3 linked regions of the Oryctolagus cuniculus genome follow. Each later gene encodes a partner of the first gene's protein in a complex. Links are inferred from orthologs where the notes say so. Each region holds a gene or a part of one and is shown in the gene's direction. Other genes may lie near its edges.

Region 1 (4,799 bases):
TGTCCCAAATTGGTGACAGGGGCCCAAACGGTTGGACCATCTTCTCTTGCTTTTCCCAGGCTAATTACAGGGAGCTGAATTGGAAGTGGAGTAGCCAGGACACAAACTGGCCCCATATGGGATGCTGACACTGCAGGTGGTGGCTTTACCTGCTATACCACAGCGCTGCCCCCTTACTGTAGATTTCTTGAGACAGAGTGAATTTCTGCCTACTAGTTCACTCCCCAAATGCCCTCAATAGCTAGAGCTGGAGAAGAAGCCAGGAGTTGGGACTGGATCTGTGGCATAGTGGGTTGGGGTGTCACATAGTAGATAAAGCCACTGTCTGATGCCAGCATCCTATATAAGCACCAGTTTGAGTCCTGGCTGCTCCACTTCCAATCCAGCTCCCTGTTAATGTGCCTGGAAAAGCAGTGGAAGATGACCCATGTGCTTGGGCCCCCATGTGGGAGACCCAGATGGAGTTCTAGGCTCCTGGCTTCGGTCCCAGCTGGGACAAGGCCAGGCCGAAGCCAGGAGCTTCATCTGGGTCTCCCACGTGGGTGGGCACAGGAGCCCAAGCAATTGGACCTTCTTCTGCTCCTTTCCCAGGCCATTAGTAGGGAGCTGGATTGAAGTAGAGCAGCCGGGACTCCACCCAGCAACTATAAGGGATGGCATTGTCACAGACAGTGGTTTTACAAAACCCACTATGCAGGCCGGCACCGCGGCTCACTAGGCTAATCCTCCGCCTTGCGGCACCGGCACACCAGATTCTAGTCCTGGTCGGGGCGCTGGATTCTGTCCTGGTTGCCCCTCTTCCAGGCCAGCTCTCTGCTGTGGCCAGGGAGTACAGTGGAGGATGGCCCAAGTACTTGGGCCCTGCACCCCATGGGAGACCAGGATAAGTACCTGGCTCCTGCCATTGAATCAGCACGGTGCGCCGGCCGCGGCGGCCATTGGAGGGTGAACCAACGGCAAAGGAAGACCTTTCTCTCTGTCTCTCTCTCTCACTGTCCACTCTGCCTGTCAAAAAAACAAAACAAAACAAACCACTATGCCCCAACACCAGAGCCATTGTAGTTGTCATTGTTGGTTTGTTTTGCGACTTTTTTTTTTTTTTTTAAGATTTATTTATTTTTTGAGAGGCAGAGTTCCTCATAGAGAAAAGAAGAGACAGAGGTCTTCCATCCACTGGTTAACTCCCCGAATGGCCAAAAGGGCTAGAACTGGGCCCAGCTGAAGTCAGGAGCCAATAGCTTCTTCCGGGTTGCCCACATGGGTGCAGGGACCCATATGGGACACCAGCTCCTCAGGCAAAGGCTTAACCTTCTATGCCACAGTGTTGGCCCCAGTTTAGTGACTTTTTAAACTAGTTTTGTGAAGACTGTGTTGTTTGTCCTGCATAACTACTGAAGTCTTGTTCCATTATTTTAGTTATCAACTAGTGATTCTTTTATCACCTAGAACAAGTAAAAAAAACTCTCCCAGTCTTTGTAGATTGGCTCTGCATGTATGCTTAGAGCCATTTCATAGAGGAGAAAACTAAGTCACATGGAGTACACTTTTCCAGGTTACTAAGTGACAAAGCTAGGATTCCTGTCTAAGTAATTTAGGTCTGAGTCTCCACTCTGCAGTAAGATAAATCAAGACATGCAATAAAAATTTTAGCTGCAGGGTTTCAAGACAAACCCAGATCCCCGGCAGACCGTTTTACACAACATAAACCTCCAGGGGGCATTATTACCAGCAGTGTGCAAGTGTGCCATTTATTTATTTATTTGAGAGGCAAAGTTACAGAGTGAGGAAAAGACAGAAAGTCTTCCAACCACTGGTTCACTCCCCAAATGGCGCAGTGGCCAGAACTGGGCAGATCCGAAGCCAGGAGTCAGGAGCTTCTTCCGGGTCTGCCACACGGATGCAGGAGCCCAAGCACTTGGGTCCTCTTCCACTGCTTTCCCAGACCATAGCAGAGAGCTGGATTGGAAGAAAAAGAGAGGCTGGGACTCGAACCAGTGCTCATATGGGATGCTGGCATTGCAGGTGGGGACTTAATCCACTGCGTCACAATATCGGCCCCCAATAACATAACTTTTAAAAATCTATATAAAAATATTTTGTTCTGCCTCTCGTTAACAGTTCTCAATTTCCTCTCTGAGCTAGAACTGTATCTTAGTGTTTTTTCCTTCATGATGAGACAGAGAGGTGAGCCAACAAACATTTACTGAATGATTTAATAAAATTACTGTTTAGGGGGCCAGAGTTGTGACAGTGATATCTCATTTTGGAGTGCTGTTTTGAGTCCCAGGTGCTCTATTTTAGATCCACCTCCCTGCTAATGCGCCTGGGAAAGCCGCTGAAGATGGCCCAAGTATTTGGGCTCCTGTGACCAATGTGCGAGACCTGGATGGAGTTCTGAACTCCTAGCTTTGACCCAGACCAGTCCCAGCTGCTATGGTCATTTGAGAAGTGAACCAGCAGATAGAAGATCTCTCTGTTTCTCACCATTTTTGTAACTCTGTCTTTCAAATAATTAAATAGATCTTTTAAAAAATTACTGTTTGGATAGGAGAGGATACTAACTGACTTTAATTATAACTAACAGTAAACCATCTACTATGAATGTAGTTATGAAATTATGACTAGAACTAAACATGAAAACGTTTAGTTTTTTTTTTTTTTTTTTTTTTTTTCTATTTTGAAAGACAGTTACATAGAAAGGTAGGGATACAAAGAGAGAGCGGTCTGGCCAGCGCCGGGGCTCACAAGGCTAATCCTCCGCCTGCGGCCCTGGCACCCCAGGTTCTAGTCCCGGTTGGGGCGCCAACTTCTGTCCTGGTTGCTCCTCTTACAGTCCAGCTCTCTGCTGTGGCCCGGGAAGGCAGTGGAGGATGGCCCATGTGCTTGGGTCCCTGTACCCGCATGGGAGACCGGGAAGAAGCACCTGGCTCCTGGCTTCAGATCAGCACAGCGCCGGCCATAGCGGCCATTTGGGGAATGAGCCAACAGAAGGAAGACCTTCTTCTCTGTCTCTCTCTCACTGTCTATAACTCTACCTGTCAAATTAAAAATAAATAAATAAATAAAATCTTTGAAAAACAAAACAAGGTAGGGTCAGAGCTGTGATGCAGTGGGTTAAGCCACCACCTGTGACACCAGCATCCCATATGAGAACCAGTTCAAGTCTTGGCTGCTCAGCTTCCAATCCAGTCCCAGCTAATGTGCCTGGGAAAGCAGCACAAGATGAGCCAAATGCTTTGCCCCTGCCACCTATGTGAGACACCCAGATAGAGTTCCTGGCTCCTAGCTTCTGCCTGTACTAGCTTCAGCCATTTTGGGGAGTAAACAAGTAAATGGAAGATCTCTCACTCTCCCTTGCTCTCCTTTCTCACTGTAACTCTGCCTTTCAAATAGTAAATATGTGGGTTTTTTTTTTTTTTTTTTTTTTTTTTTTTTAGGCAGTGGTCTAATATCTTTCTCCTAAAGAATATACGAAGTAAACTTATAGAGGACTTCTTCCAAGGGCATGTTGATTAACAGTATTTTATTCTAACTTTATTACCAAAGGAGTCTGAAAATATAACCAAAATAGTTTATTCCACCAGCCTTCAAATAATTTGGCAAAATTGTGATCATTTTTTACCATGTGTTGCTAGGACATCCAAGAAAGTTTCTGAATGAGGTTCTTGTTCTAGATGTGTTCATGTCTACCAAGTATGTTGTGCAGTTACTTCTCAAGGAGATGTTACTGATAGACTGTCCTATTCCTCTGCTTTAGCTTTGGGATATCCGGAAGAAAGCAGCCATCCAGACATTTCAGAACACATACCAAGTGTTAGCTGTGACCTTCAATGACACAAGTGATCAGATTATTTCTGGTGGAATAGACAATGATATCAAGGTATGTGATGTTCGTGTTGTATTTCACTTTGACCTGCATCCACTTACAGAAGCAAATCTTTGAAGACTTTTGGGATTGTGGTAGCTTTGTGCTTAATACCAACTAAAATTACAATAATAACTTAGAACTTTCTTTCTCTTCGGTCCTCATTGTCTTCCTCAATCAAAGGTTTCATTGCAGCCCATATAAATGCTGTCAGGGACCAGGCGGTTCATGTGCCGCATGCATCCCCTGGGTGGAGGACTAGTGGAAGGACGGGTGTCCTCCACTCTTGCTGTGTTTTTCTTTTTGACACTATTTAAATTAAGTTTTCTAAGCTTCTAGTAAGAATGAGAGAAAGTAATACTTTTGGAGAAGGAGGCAGTGGGCCGTGTGGCAGTACAGTGTAGCTTAAACCTTCAACTAATTTGACTTGGGTTCTAATCCCACTTCTGCTGTTTTCTAGTTTTGTGATTTCAAATGGGTTCTTTAACTTGTTCACTTTAAGCTTATGTTTTCTCACATGAAGAGTGAAGGTGATAATAATAACAGTAACTTCTGCCTCATAGAGTTGTTGGGATTAAATGAGCCTATCCTTAGACCACCTGCAGTGTTCCTGGATATAGCAAGTACCAGTAAATGTGAAGGGGTATTTTGGGACTATACAATTCAAGCCTTTGCTTACTGGTTCCCTAAAGGATCTCAAAAACTGTGGCCCTACCCTTTGCATTACTGAGGTAATTACTGTTAGATCGATGCTAAGCTTCCTGTGTTGTCTCTACATGGCAATTGTTCTGTATTCCCATTCCTGCTTGCTTCCTTTGCTGTTACTATGGATGGCATGTCTCATTAAGTGGGAAGATTTCAACCTTCACTTCTCAAGGACCTCATGCCAGCAGTTTCCCCAAACTATTTTCAGCGTCTTCTCTCCTGCTTTTCT
Region 2 (4,899 bases), on another chromosome or scaffold:
CCCCCCAGGAGCCGGAGCCCCTCCTCCCAGCCCCCCCCGTCCCCCGCCCCTGGCTGGTCCCGGTGTCCACGCGTCCACTCGCTGTCCAGAGCCCCGCCCCGCCCCTGGGAAGCAGTCTGCCTTGAGACCGAGTCCAGCCCGAAGCAGCCCTGCGCCTGCTCACAGGTGGCACGTCCCTGGACAGCAGAGGTGGGCGAGGGCAGGCCCCGCGGCCCAGAGCCGGCCCCTGCCGCTGGGCCGGCACCAGTACCCCGCACGGGCGCCGGTTCAAGGCCCGGCTGCTCCGCTCCAGCTCCCGGTTACCGCCGGGGAAGCCACGGGCGATGCCCGCGCTCGGCCTGCACCCGCGTGGGGGGTCCAGAGTCCAGCCTGGCCCAGCCCCGCCACTGTGGCCACCTGGGGAGCCACCCAGCGGACGGAGGACGTCGCCCTCACTCGCGCTAACGGGGTCCTGGGGGCCAGGCCTGAGGGCGTCCTGGGCTCTGCAGGGGCCGCTCAGAGACCACCAGAGCCGCGGCGGGGCCGACGGACACAGGGAGCCCAGCGGGGGCAGAGGGGACCCGACTCCAGGTGGGGGAGCAGAGGGGACCAGGATCCGGGCGGGGGTCAGAGGGGACCTGACTCCTGGGGGGGAGCAGAGGGGACCCTAACTCCAGGTGGGGGGCAGAGGGGACCCAGATCCGGACAGGGGGCGGGGGGACCCTGACTCCAGGCAGGGGGAGCAAAGGAGACCCGGATCCGGGTGGGGGGGCAGAGGGGACCCTAACTCCAGGCAGGGGGGGAGTGGAGGGGACCCGGATCCAGGCAGGGGGGCAGAGGGGACCTGACTCCTGGGGGGGAGCAGAGGGACCCCGACCCCAGGTGGGGGGCAGAGGGGACCCAGATCCGGACGGGGGGGAGCGGAGGGGACCCGGATCCGGGCAGGGGGGCAGAGGGGACCTGACTCCTGGGGGGGAGCAGAGGGACCCTGACCCCAGGTGGGGGGCAGAGGGGACCCCGACTCCTGGTGGGGGGAGTGGAGGGGACCCGGATCCGGGCGGGGGGCAGGGGGTACCCCCACTCCGGGGGCGGCGCTGGGCTCCAGCCTGCGCAGCCGCGAGGGGCCCCACACATCCGCGGGGGAGGCAGGCGGGCGCGGGGGTGTCGGGGGCAGCCTCCCCGCAGCGGCCCTAACTCCACCCCGCACCCCGCACCGCGGCGTCCCGGGAGCAGAGCCTGCTCTCCTGGGCCGGACACGGCCTCCGGGACTCCCAGGACAAAGTCCCCGGCCCAGCCCCACGCCCACCCGAGGGGCCTCCCGCGCGGGGCGCCGGCTCGGCCTCCGGGCACCCGCTGAGACCGGGGGGCGACGCGCCGCCAGGGACCCCGCTCCTGGGGCCGCGCAAACCGGGACGCGGCGGCTGTCCGCGCCCCGCAACCTCCCGCGCCTGCAGGGGTGCGACCCCCCCATGCAAGGTCACCGAGCAAACGCCGGCGCGGGGGCCGGGGGGCCCGGGGCGCTGCCCCGCACCGGGGGACGCCTTCCCGCCAGCCCTGGGGGCAGGGGCGCGCGTGCCGCACTGGGGGAAACTGAGGCTCGGAGCGCGGTGGGCGCCACAGCGGCAGGGGAGACCCCCGAGACGGACGCACGGGACCCATCCAGGGCCTGCGGGTGGGGAGGACGCGGGACTGCGGACCCGGCCAGAGGCCGCGGCGGGCGAGGACGGCCGCGGCGGGGGCGGCACAGCCCCGCAAGGTCACGGCAGGGCCCCGGCCCCGCGGCGGGGGACGCGGGGGGACCGGGGTCCCGGAGGCGGCGGCCCCAGGGCGGGCGGAGCGCGGCGCCACGCGGGGCCCGGGGCTGCCGGGGCAGAGCAGCCGCGGCCCGCGGGGCTGTCAGGGCCGGCGCAGCCTCACCTGGGCCGCGAAAAGCAGCGAGGCCGCCGCGAGCCGCGCCAGCGCCAGCGCCGCCGCCATGTCGGCCGGTCCAGCCGCAGCCGTCGGCAGATGTTTCCCGGCAACACCCCCGGCGGCGCCTGCGCGCATGCGCGGCGCATGCGCACGCGCGCCCGGGGTCAAAGGCCGCGGGGCGGCGCCTGCGCGGGGCGGCGCGGGGCGGGAAGATGGCGGTGAGCGCGCGGCGGAGCCGGGGCGGGGAGCTTGAAGTCGGGCCGCGCCCCCTGCCTCACGCGCTCTGCTTGCCCCGCAGGACAAAGAGAAGAAGAAGAAGGAGAGCATCTTGGACCTGTCCAAGTACATCGACAAGACGATCCGGGTGAAGTTCCAGGGAGGCCGCGAAGGTGAGGCCGCCCCCTCCCCGCCGCCGGCCCCGTGCGTTCGCGGGTCGGGAGGCGGCGGGCGCGGGGGCCAGCGGAGGCGGCCCCGCAGCTCTGCCCGCGCGCGGCCCCGTCTCCCCAGCGCGCTGCCGCCCCGCACCGGGGCCTCTCCGCGGGCGCGGCCCCCCGCCAGGGACCCCCTGCTTGTGCCGGTGCCCGGGTCTGCGGTATCACCAGCGCCCGCCAGGGGGCGCGCCTGCACGCGTGGGAACCGCGGCCCTAGAAACGGAAATGCATTTATTTCGGAAAGGCGCGAGAACTCCCCTCTCTGGTTCGCAGCCCGGGTAGGACCAGGAGCTGCATCCGGGTCTCCCGCGTGGGGGCAGGGTCCCCAGGGTGCGATAGGGGCGCGGGTTCGAGTCCCGGCTGCTCCACTTCCGGTCCAGCTCCCTGCTGTGGCCTGGGAGAGCAGGTGCACGAGGGCCCAGGTGCTGGGGGCCGCTGCACCTGCGTGGGAGACCCGGATGGAGCTCCTGGCTCCTCGCTCCGGATCGGCGCAGCTCCGGCCGTTGAGGCCGTCTCGGGAGTGACCCAGCGGCGGGAGGGCCTCTCCCCGCCACGCTGGCCCCGGTAGGGGAGTGGGGCCGGCCCCCCAGGACACTCACCAGCCCACCGAGCCCACGTGTCACAAGCTGTCTGCTGTGGCTGTGGGCCGGGGTCGCCGTGTTCCGCCCCGGGACTCGCCTGCCGCCCGCGCCGGGTCAGGCGGGGGGCCTGGGTCGCTGACCCCGCCCACCCACTCCCCTGTGGGGTCGGGGCCCCAGCGCGCAGGTGCGGCAGCGGCCTGAGGTTGCTGGAGCCGCAACCCGAATAGCAGTGACCACCGCGGCGTCCCGCGCTGCGCACTGGCTCCCCCACCCAGGGCCGCGCTGCCCTGCCGTCCCAGCCCGCGCCGGCTCCCGCGCTGCCCCTCTGGGCGGGCGGGCTGGACCTCACGCCCCCCCCCCCCGCCCCAGCCAGCGGCATCCTCAAGGGCTTCGACCCCCTGCTCAACCTCGTGCTGGACGGCACCATCGAACACATGCGAGGTGAGCCGGTCCGCCCCCCGGGGACGCCCAGGCCGTGCGGGAGCCGGGCGGTGAGGGTGGGTCCCGCGCGGGGTTGCGGTCTTCCCGCCCCGCCCCGCCCCTGACGGCAGCCCTGCGCCTGCTGTGCCCGGCCCCGGCCCCGGCCCTGGCCCTGTCCCTGTCCCTGTCCGTGCGGGGTGCCGGCCGCCGCCCGCCGCCCGCCTGCCTCAGCCCTCCCCGCCCGCAGATCCCGACGACCAGTACAAGCTGACGGAGGACACGCGGCAGCTGGGCCTGGTGGTGTGCAGGGGCACCTCGGTGGTGCTCATCTGCCCGCAGGACGGCATGGAGGCCATCCCGAACCCCTTCGTGCAGCAGCAGGACGCCTAGGCCGGCGGCCGGCCTCAGCCCCGCCCCCGGGACCGCCTACCCGCCTGGGTCGGCCCCGCCCCGCCCCCGGGACCCTGCCCGCCTGGGTCAGCCCCGCCCCGGCACCGCCCCCGCCACCTCGGCCCCGCCCCCGGGACCCTGCCCGCCTGGGTCAGCCCCGGCCCCGCCCCCGCCAGCTCGGCCCCGCCCCCGGGACCGCCTACCCGCCTGGGTCGGCACCGCCCCGCCCCCGGGACCCTGCCCGCCGGGGTCAGCCCCGCCCCCGCTCAGTAAAGCCGCAGCCCCTCTGCCCGCTCGCCTCGCTTTCTCAGCCCCTGGCCCCGGGACCCCTCCCCGTCCGCCGCCCCCTCGCACCCTCCCTCCTGGGCGCTGGGGCACGCGGGAGGCGCGCGCTGCGCTGGAGCCCGGGCCCCTGGCTCACGGGGCTCACCGGGCTCTGCGGCCCGCGGGCGCCAGCTGCTCCGGGCCCCGCACCTGCTCCCAGCCATCTGGCCTGGGCTCCCTGTCAGAGGCCATCTCAGGGCCGGGGCCGTGCACTGCGGGGTGGGGGGGGCGCCTCACAACTGAGGGACTGGACGGCGGATGAGGGGAGCACCCCCCGTTTCTGAGCCCCCGCAGCCCCGGCTCGGCCTAGCCCCGCCTCCTGCCGTGGCTCTGCTCTGTGAGCGCTGGGGCGCAGCGGGCGAAGCCGCCGCCTGTGGTCCCGCTTCCCACGTGGGCGCGGGTTCGAGTCCCAGCTGCTCCACTTCCGATCAGCTCCCTGCCGTGGCCTGGGAGAGCAGTGGACGATGGACCAATGGTGGACCCCTGCACCCGCGTGGGAGACCCGGATGGAGCTCCTGGCTCCGGATCGGCGCAGCTCCGGCCAATGCGGCCATCTGGGGGGTGACCCAGCGGATGGAGGACCTCTCTCTCTGTCTCTGCCTCTCTGTAACTCTGCCTTTCGGATAAATAAACCACTTTAAGAAAACTGGGCGCCTTGGGGAGAAGGGCCTACAGTGGGCTCGGGCCGGCACGTGTGGTCAGCCGCCGGGTGGGTCTTGCAGAGCTGGGTGCCTCCGGGCCCCCCCTGGCTCGCTCTGGCCTCCAGGAGTTGGCAGCGACGGGGGCTGGGGGACGGGGCTGGGGTCTCCCGGTGCAGCGGGGCCTCCACCAGCGCCCCCGTGCCGGGGCACCGAGTGTCCCTG
Region 3 (4,799 bases), on another chromosome or scaffold:
ACTAAAATAAAATTGTCTTAATTTTCAGGTTCTTGAATGTATAAAACTGAGTGAAGAAACCACTACATCATCCAGTAGAATTTTTGTCAAAATATTTTTCCAAGAACTGTGTGAATACATGGGTCTTCCCAAACTCAATGCAAGATTAAAGGATGAGTAAGTTTGTCGTTAAGCACTCTTTATTCTTACTGTCCTCAGGGATTTTCCCCTTCTTTGGCAGATATAAGTCTGTCCTTGGTTGTAAAGAAAGAGACAGAGAAAGAGAAGGGAAGGGGAGGAGGAAGGAGAGAAGGGGGAAGGAAAAGAAAAGAAAGAAAAGGCCCCTAGGACTTTTTTAATCCATTAATCATCTACTTCTCTGTATCTCATGTAGCATAGGACAGCATGCAACTTTTTTTTTATAAAGATTTTATTTATTTATTTGACAGTGAGAGGGAGAGATAGAGAGGTCTTCCATGACTGCAATGGCCAGAGCTGCACCAATCCAAAGCCAGGAACCAGGAGCTTCCTGTGGTCTCCCACGTGGGTGCAGGGGCCCAAGGACTTGAGCCGTTTTCTACTGCTTTCCCAGGCCATGGCAGAGAGCTGGACTGGAAGAGGAGCAGCTGGGACTAGAGCCAGCGCCCATATGGGATGCCGGCATCTCAGGCAGAAGATTAACCTACTGCGCCATTGCACTGGCCTCCAGCATGTAACTTTTAATTGTACTTATACTGCTAGTCGCAGGAAAACAAAATTAATGCTTCCTTTAATTTCATTAGAGCATATGAAATGTTTTTTTTTTGCATGCTCACTGAAATTCTGCAGTTGATGAGTACTTAGTTTTCTCTTATTTCGTACCTTTGTGTTGAGCCCTAAAACAACAATGTTTTGTAATCAGTGGACACCATTGAAGCATCCTTCCCAGCTTCTTCCATGACCACTGCCAAATGCTGTAGTCAGTCCTTATGCCCCTTTACTTCTCTGCCTGTCTTTAGCAGTTGGTCACTTGCTCACTGTGACTTCTCACTTTATCCTTAGTCTCCGTCTCCTCCTCAGCTGGCCTCTCCAGTGTTAAGGTTCACCTGAGGTCTGTCCTGGGTTCTGGATGCTATCTGTGGGCTATTCCATCCACTTCTCCTGGCTTCATATACTTACTGACTCTGGTTCCTGTCAGTTGTACCAGGCTCAATTCCTTTAGCAAATGGCACTGTAGCCACATCTCCACTGCCATCGTGTCAAGCCTGTCTGGCTGTTGATGTTTCTTTATTTCTGTTTCTACAACTGGCAGTCCCCTCTCTTTTTCATCTGTCTAGCAAACTCTTAATCATTCTTTTTATAATAGTTTACCTTTTTCTATGAAACGTTTTCCTGACTCCATCTAGTAGTCATTCAGTGTGGCACTCAGAATTGATCAGAACCACAGTACATTGTTAATGTTTTTCTGTTTGCCCTGCTCTGTAAATAGAGTAATTCTATGCAGTCCTCAATCCTAAATGTCTCCCTTTTGTTGACTCCTTCCTCATATCTCTCAGTGTTGTGTACACATGCCTGTGTATATATTAAAATACAAGCGGGTTTTTTTTAAATCTTAAATACGGGGGCTGGCGCTGTGGCTTAGCAGGTAAAGCCACACAGGCATCCCATATGGGCACTGGTTGAAGTCCCAGCTGCTCTACTTCCTATCCAGCTCTCTGGCTAGAAAACAGTAGAAGAAGGTCCAAGTCCTTGGGCCCCTGTACCCATGTGGGAGACCCAGAAGAAGCTCCTGGCTCCTGGCTTCGAATTGACACAGCTCCAGCCATTTTGGCCAACTGGGGAGTAAACCAGCGGATGGAAGACCTCTCTCTCTCTCTCTGCCTCTGCTTCTCTCTCTGTGTAACTCTGACTTTCAGATAAGTAAGTAAACCTTTAAAAAATTTTATATATGTATACCATACACACACATATATGTATGTGTCCATGTGTATTCTTCTGTGTTGACACGAGTGAAAAGTTTTTAAAAATTCAGCTTAGTATATTATTACTTGACCCTACTCATTTCATTTAGATAGCAGGTAGCATAACCTAATAAGAGGCATACACCACCATTTATTATTTCATTTGTTTATTTAATATACTGGAAGTCTGCAAAATAACTGTAAGGATTTTTGTCTTTTTGTTCTCTTCCATTCATTTTTTTTTCTTTTATAGAACCCTACAGCCATTCTTTGAAGGGTTGTTACCCCGAGATAATCCAAGAAACACTCGATTTGCCATCAACTTCTTTACTTCTATAGGTCTTGGAGGTTTAACGTAAGAATTTTGTTTTCACCTTACACAATTACCTTACAGTTGCCTTTGAGACAGAATCTAACAGACTATGTTTTTAATTAGGGATGAATTGCGTGAGCATCTCAAAAACACACCAAAAGTCATAGTGGCTCAGAAACCAGATGTTGAACCAAATAAATCCTCCCTGTCTTCTTCGTCATCAGCGTCCTCCTCGTCGGAGTCCGACTCCTCTGACTCTGACTCTGACTCTGACTCTGACTCTGACAGCAGTGATAGCAGTTCAGGGTCCTCCAGTGAGGAGAGCGATTCTTCATCCTCCGGGAGTCACAGCTCGGCCTCAGGTATTGAAGCTTCTCCATAACCTATCCTGCTCTTTGCTAACAAGCGTATTGCTGGTGGTATTTATAATGACGGAAGAAAGTGATTGTATTGTATTGCTTGTTTTAGAGTTGAGTTGTTTAAAGCTTTAGTTAATAATATGCACAATCATCCGTCACTATTACAATGTGTTAGTGTATTACAGCATCTACAATGCCAACATTACCTGTTGGAATCCTCTTCATCGAAGCCAAGATACTTCATGGGCATGTGTTTATCGTGGTGTCAACTTAATATAATGTATAACAGTTGCCTGATGCTTTTATTTGAAAAAAAAAAAATGTTTTGGCTTTTCTTCTAATAGCAAAGCTTTATTTTAGTGATTGACATATACCACACATGCAGTGCTTGTCCTGTGTGCTATGTGAATAGCTAGCACTCTGGCCAGAATTTCTCCTTGTTCCCTCTCCCAGTAACTGCCCTCCCTCTGGCCTATCTGCTACTATTCTGATTTGTAATTCTATAGATTCGTTTTGTATGTTGTAACTTCAGAACTGTGCATTACGAATCCTCTATGTCTGACATTTCTTTCAACATTACGTTTGTGAGATTCTTGTATAGAATTGCATTTAGGTATAGTTCATTCATTCCTGTTACAGTTCTCTACTTCATGAATATACTGTAATCCTATTATCTTTTTAGTCAGTGGACATGTAAATTTACAGATAGTGTTCCCATGAATACTCTTGTACATAACTTTTGCTGATCATATATACACAGATAGTCCCCAACCTACAATGGTTCATCTTAGGAGTTTTTGACTATGATAGTCCATATGCATTCCATAAAAGCTGTACTTTGAATTATGTATTTTGATCTTTTCCTGGGCTGGGGTAATGCCATACATTGCTCTCATGATGCTCAACTGTAGGCTAATGTTGAGTATTCTGAGCACATTTAAGATAGGCTAAACTAAGTTATGTTTCGGAGTTTAGTCATTTTCATCTTGGTATTTTTAACTTGGAATTGATTTATTGGGACATAGCCCCATCATTGGACAAGAAACGTTTGTGTATATGTGTGTATGTGTGTGCACATTTCCTTTGGGTATATACCTACAGGTGGTATATCAGATAATATAGCATGTAATTATTGCTGATAATCAGATGTCATAGCATGTGTTTGTGTTTGACTTTAGTAAATACTATCAACCAGGGTTTTTTTTGTTTGTTTGTTTTTAAAGATTTTATATATTTGGGGCCGGCGCTGTGGCTCACTTGGTTAATCCTCCGCCTGCAGCGTCAGCATCCCATATGGGTGCTGGATTCTAGTCCCAGTTGCTCCTCTTGCAGTCCAGCTCTCTGCTGTGGCCCGGGAAAGCAGTGGAGGATGGCCAAGTGCTTGGGCACCTACACCCACATGGGAGACCAGGAGGAAGCACCTGGTTCCTGGCTTCGGATCAGCATAGCTCCAGCTGTAGCAGCCATTTGGGGGGTGAACCAACGGAAGGAAGACTTTTCTGTCTTTCTCTCTCTCTCTAACTCTTATTTGTCAAATAAAAAAAAAAAGATTTTATATATTTATTTGAGAAGTAGAGTTAGAGCAGTGAGAGGGGAGACAGAGAAAAAGGTCTTCCTTCCTCTGGTTCACTTCTCAAACCACTGCACTGCCAGAGTTAAGCCAATCTGAAGCCAGGAGCCAGGAGCTTCTTCCAGTCTCCCACATGGGTGCAGGGGCCCAAGCACTTGGGCCATCTTCTGCTGCTTTCCCAGGCCATAGCAGAGAGCTGGGTTGGAAGAGGAGCAGCCAGGACTTGAACTGGTGCCTGTCTGGGATGCTTATACAACAGGCTGGGTCTTTAACCCGCTATACCATAGTGCTGGCCCCTGCCAAACAATTTTTTTAAGTGTTTATTTCAACATACACTCCCACCAGCCACATATAGAGTTCTAGCAGCTCCCTACCAGCGCTTGAGATTGCCCATGTTTTTCATTTTGGCCAGATCTGGTGGCTATGTAATGATACAGTATTGTGGGTATTGTACTTTAATTTTCATTGTCTTTCTCACTGATGAAGCGGAATACCATTTAAGCTTTATTGGCCATTTTAATACTTCCCTTTTTGTTAGGTGGCTGTTCCAGGCTTTGTGTGACCCCCACCTTATTTTTTTATGTCTGCTCTATTAATTTATCAGAATTCTTTACGTATCCGAGATGTGTATCTTTCAC

Evidence for each region.
Region 2: SNRNP40 (region 1) and LSM7 share a complex: the UniProt entries of both Homo sapiens proteins name them as parts of the U4/U6-U5 tri-snRNP complex. The link is inferred for Oryctolagus cuniculus from reciprocal best matches to the Homo sapiens genes SNRNP40 and LSM7.
Region 3: SNRNP40 (region 1) and CWC22 share a complex: the UniProt entries of both Homo sapiens proteins name them as parts of the minor spliceosome. The link is inferred for Oryctolagus cuniculus from reciprocal best matches to the Homo sapiens genes SNRNP40 and CWC22.

Annotation. Positions count from the first base shown.
Region 1 is NC_091438.1:141,088,667-141,093,465, forward strand, and holds part of SNRNP40 (U5 small nuclear ribonucleoprotein 40 kDa protein), read left to right. Parts: intron 1-3,757; coding exon 3,758-3,880; intron 3,881-4,799. UniProt on the Homo sapiens protein: Required for pre-mRNA splicing as component of the activated spliceosome. Component of the U5 small nuclear ribonucleoprotein (snRNP) complex and the U4/U6-U5 tri-snRNP complex, building blocks of the spliceosome.
Region 2 is NC_091447.1:59,144,788-59,149,686, reverse strand, and holds LSM7 (U6 snRNA-associated Sm-like protein LSm7), read left to right. Parts: upstream 1-2,049; 5' UTR 2,050-2,102; coding exon 2,103-2,108; intron 2,109-2,188; coding exon 2,189-2,279; intron 2,280-3,271; coding exon 3,272-3,343; intron 3,344-3,569; coding exon 3,570-3,712; 3' UTR 3,713-3,756; intron 3,757-3,858; 3' UTR 3,859-4,682; downstream 4,683-4,899. Other genes in the region: SPPL2B (signal peptide peptidase-like 2B), read right to left, coding at 1,897-2,025. UniProt on the Homo sapiens protein: Plays a role in pre-mRNA splicing as component of the U4/U6-U5 tri-snRNP complex that is involved in spliceosome assembly, and as component of the precatalytic spliceosome (spliceosome B complex).
Region 3 is NC_091434.1:61,122,543-61,127,341, forward strand, and holds part of CWC22 (pre-mRNA-splicing factor CWC22 homolog), read left to right. Parts: intron 1-28; coding exon 29-156; intron 157-2,172; coding exon 2,173-2,274; intron 2,275-2,355; coding exon 2,356-2,594; intron 2,595-4,799. UniProt on the Homo sapiens protein: Required for pre-mRNA splicing as component of the spliceosome. As a component of the minor spliceosome, involved in the splicing of U12-type introns in pre-mRNAs. Promotes exon-junction complex (EJC) assembly.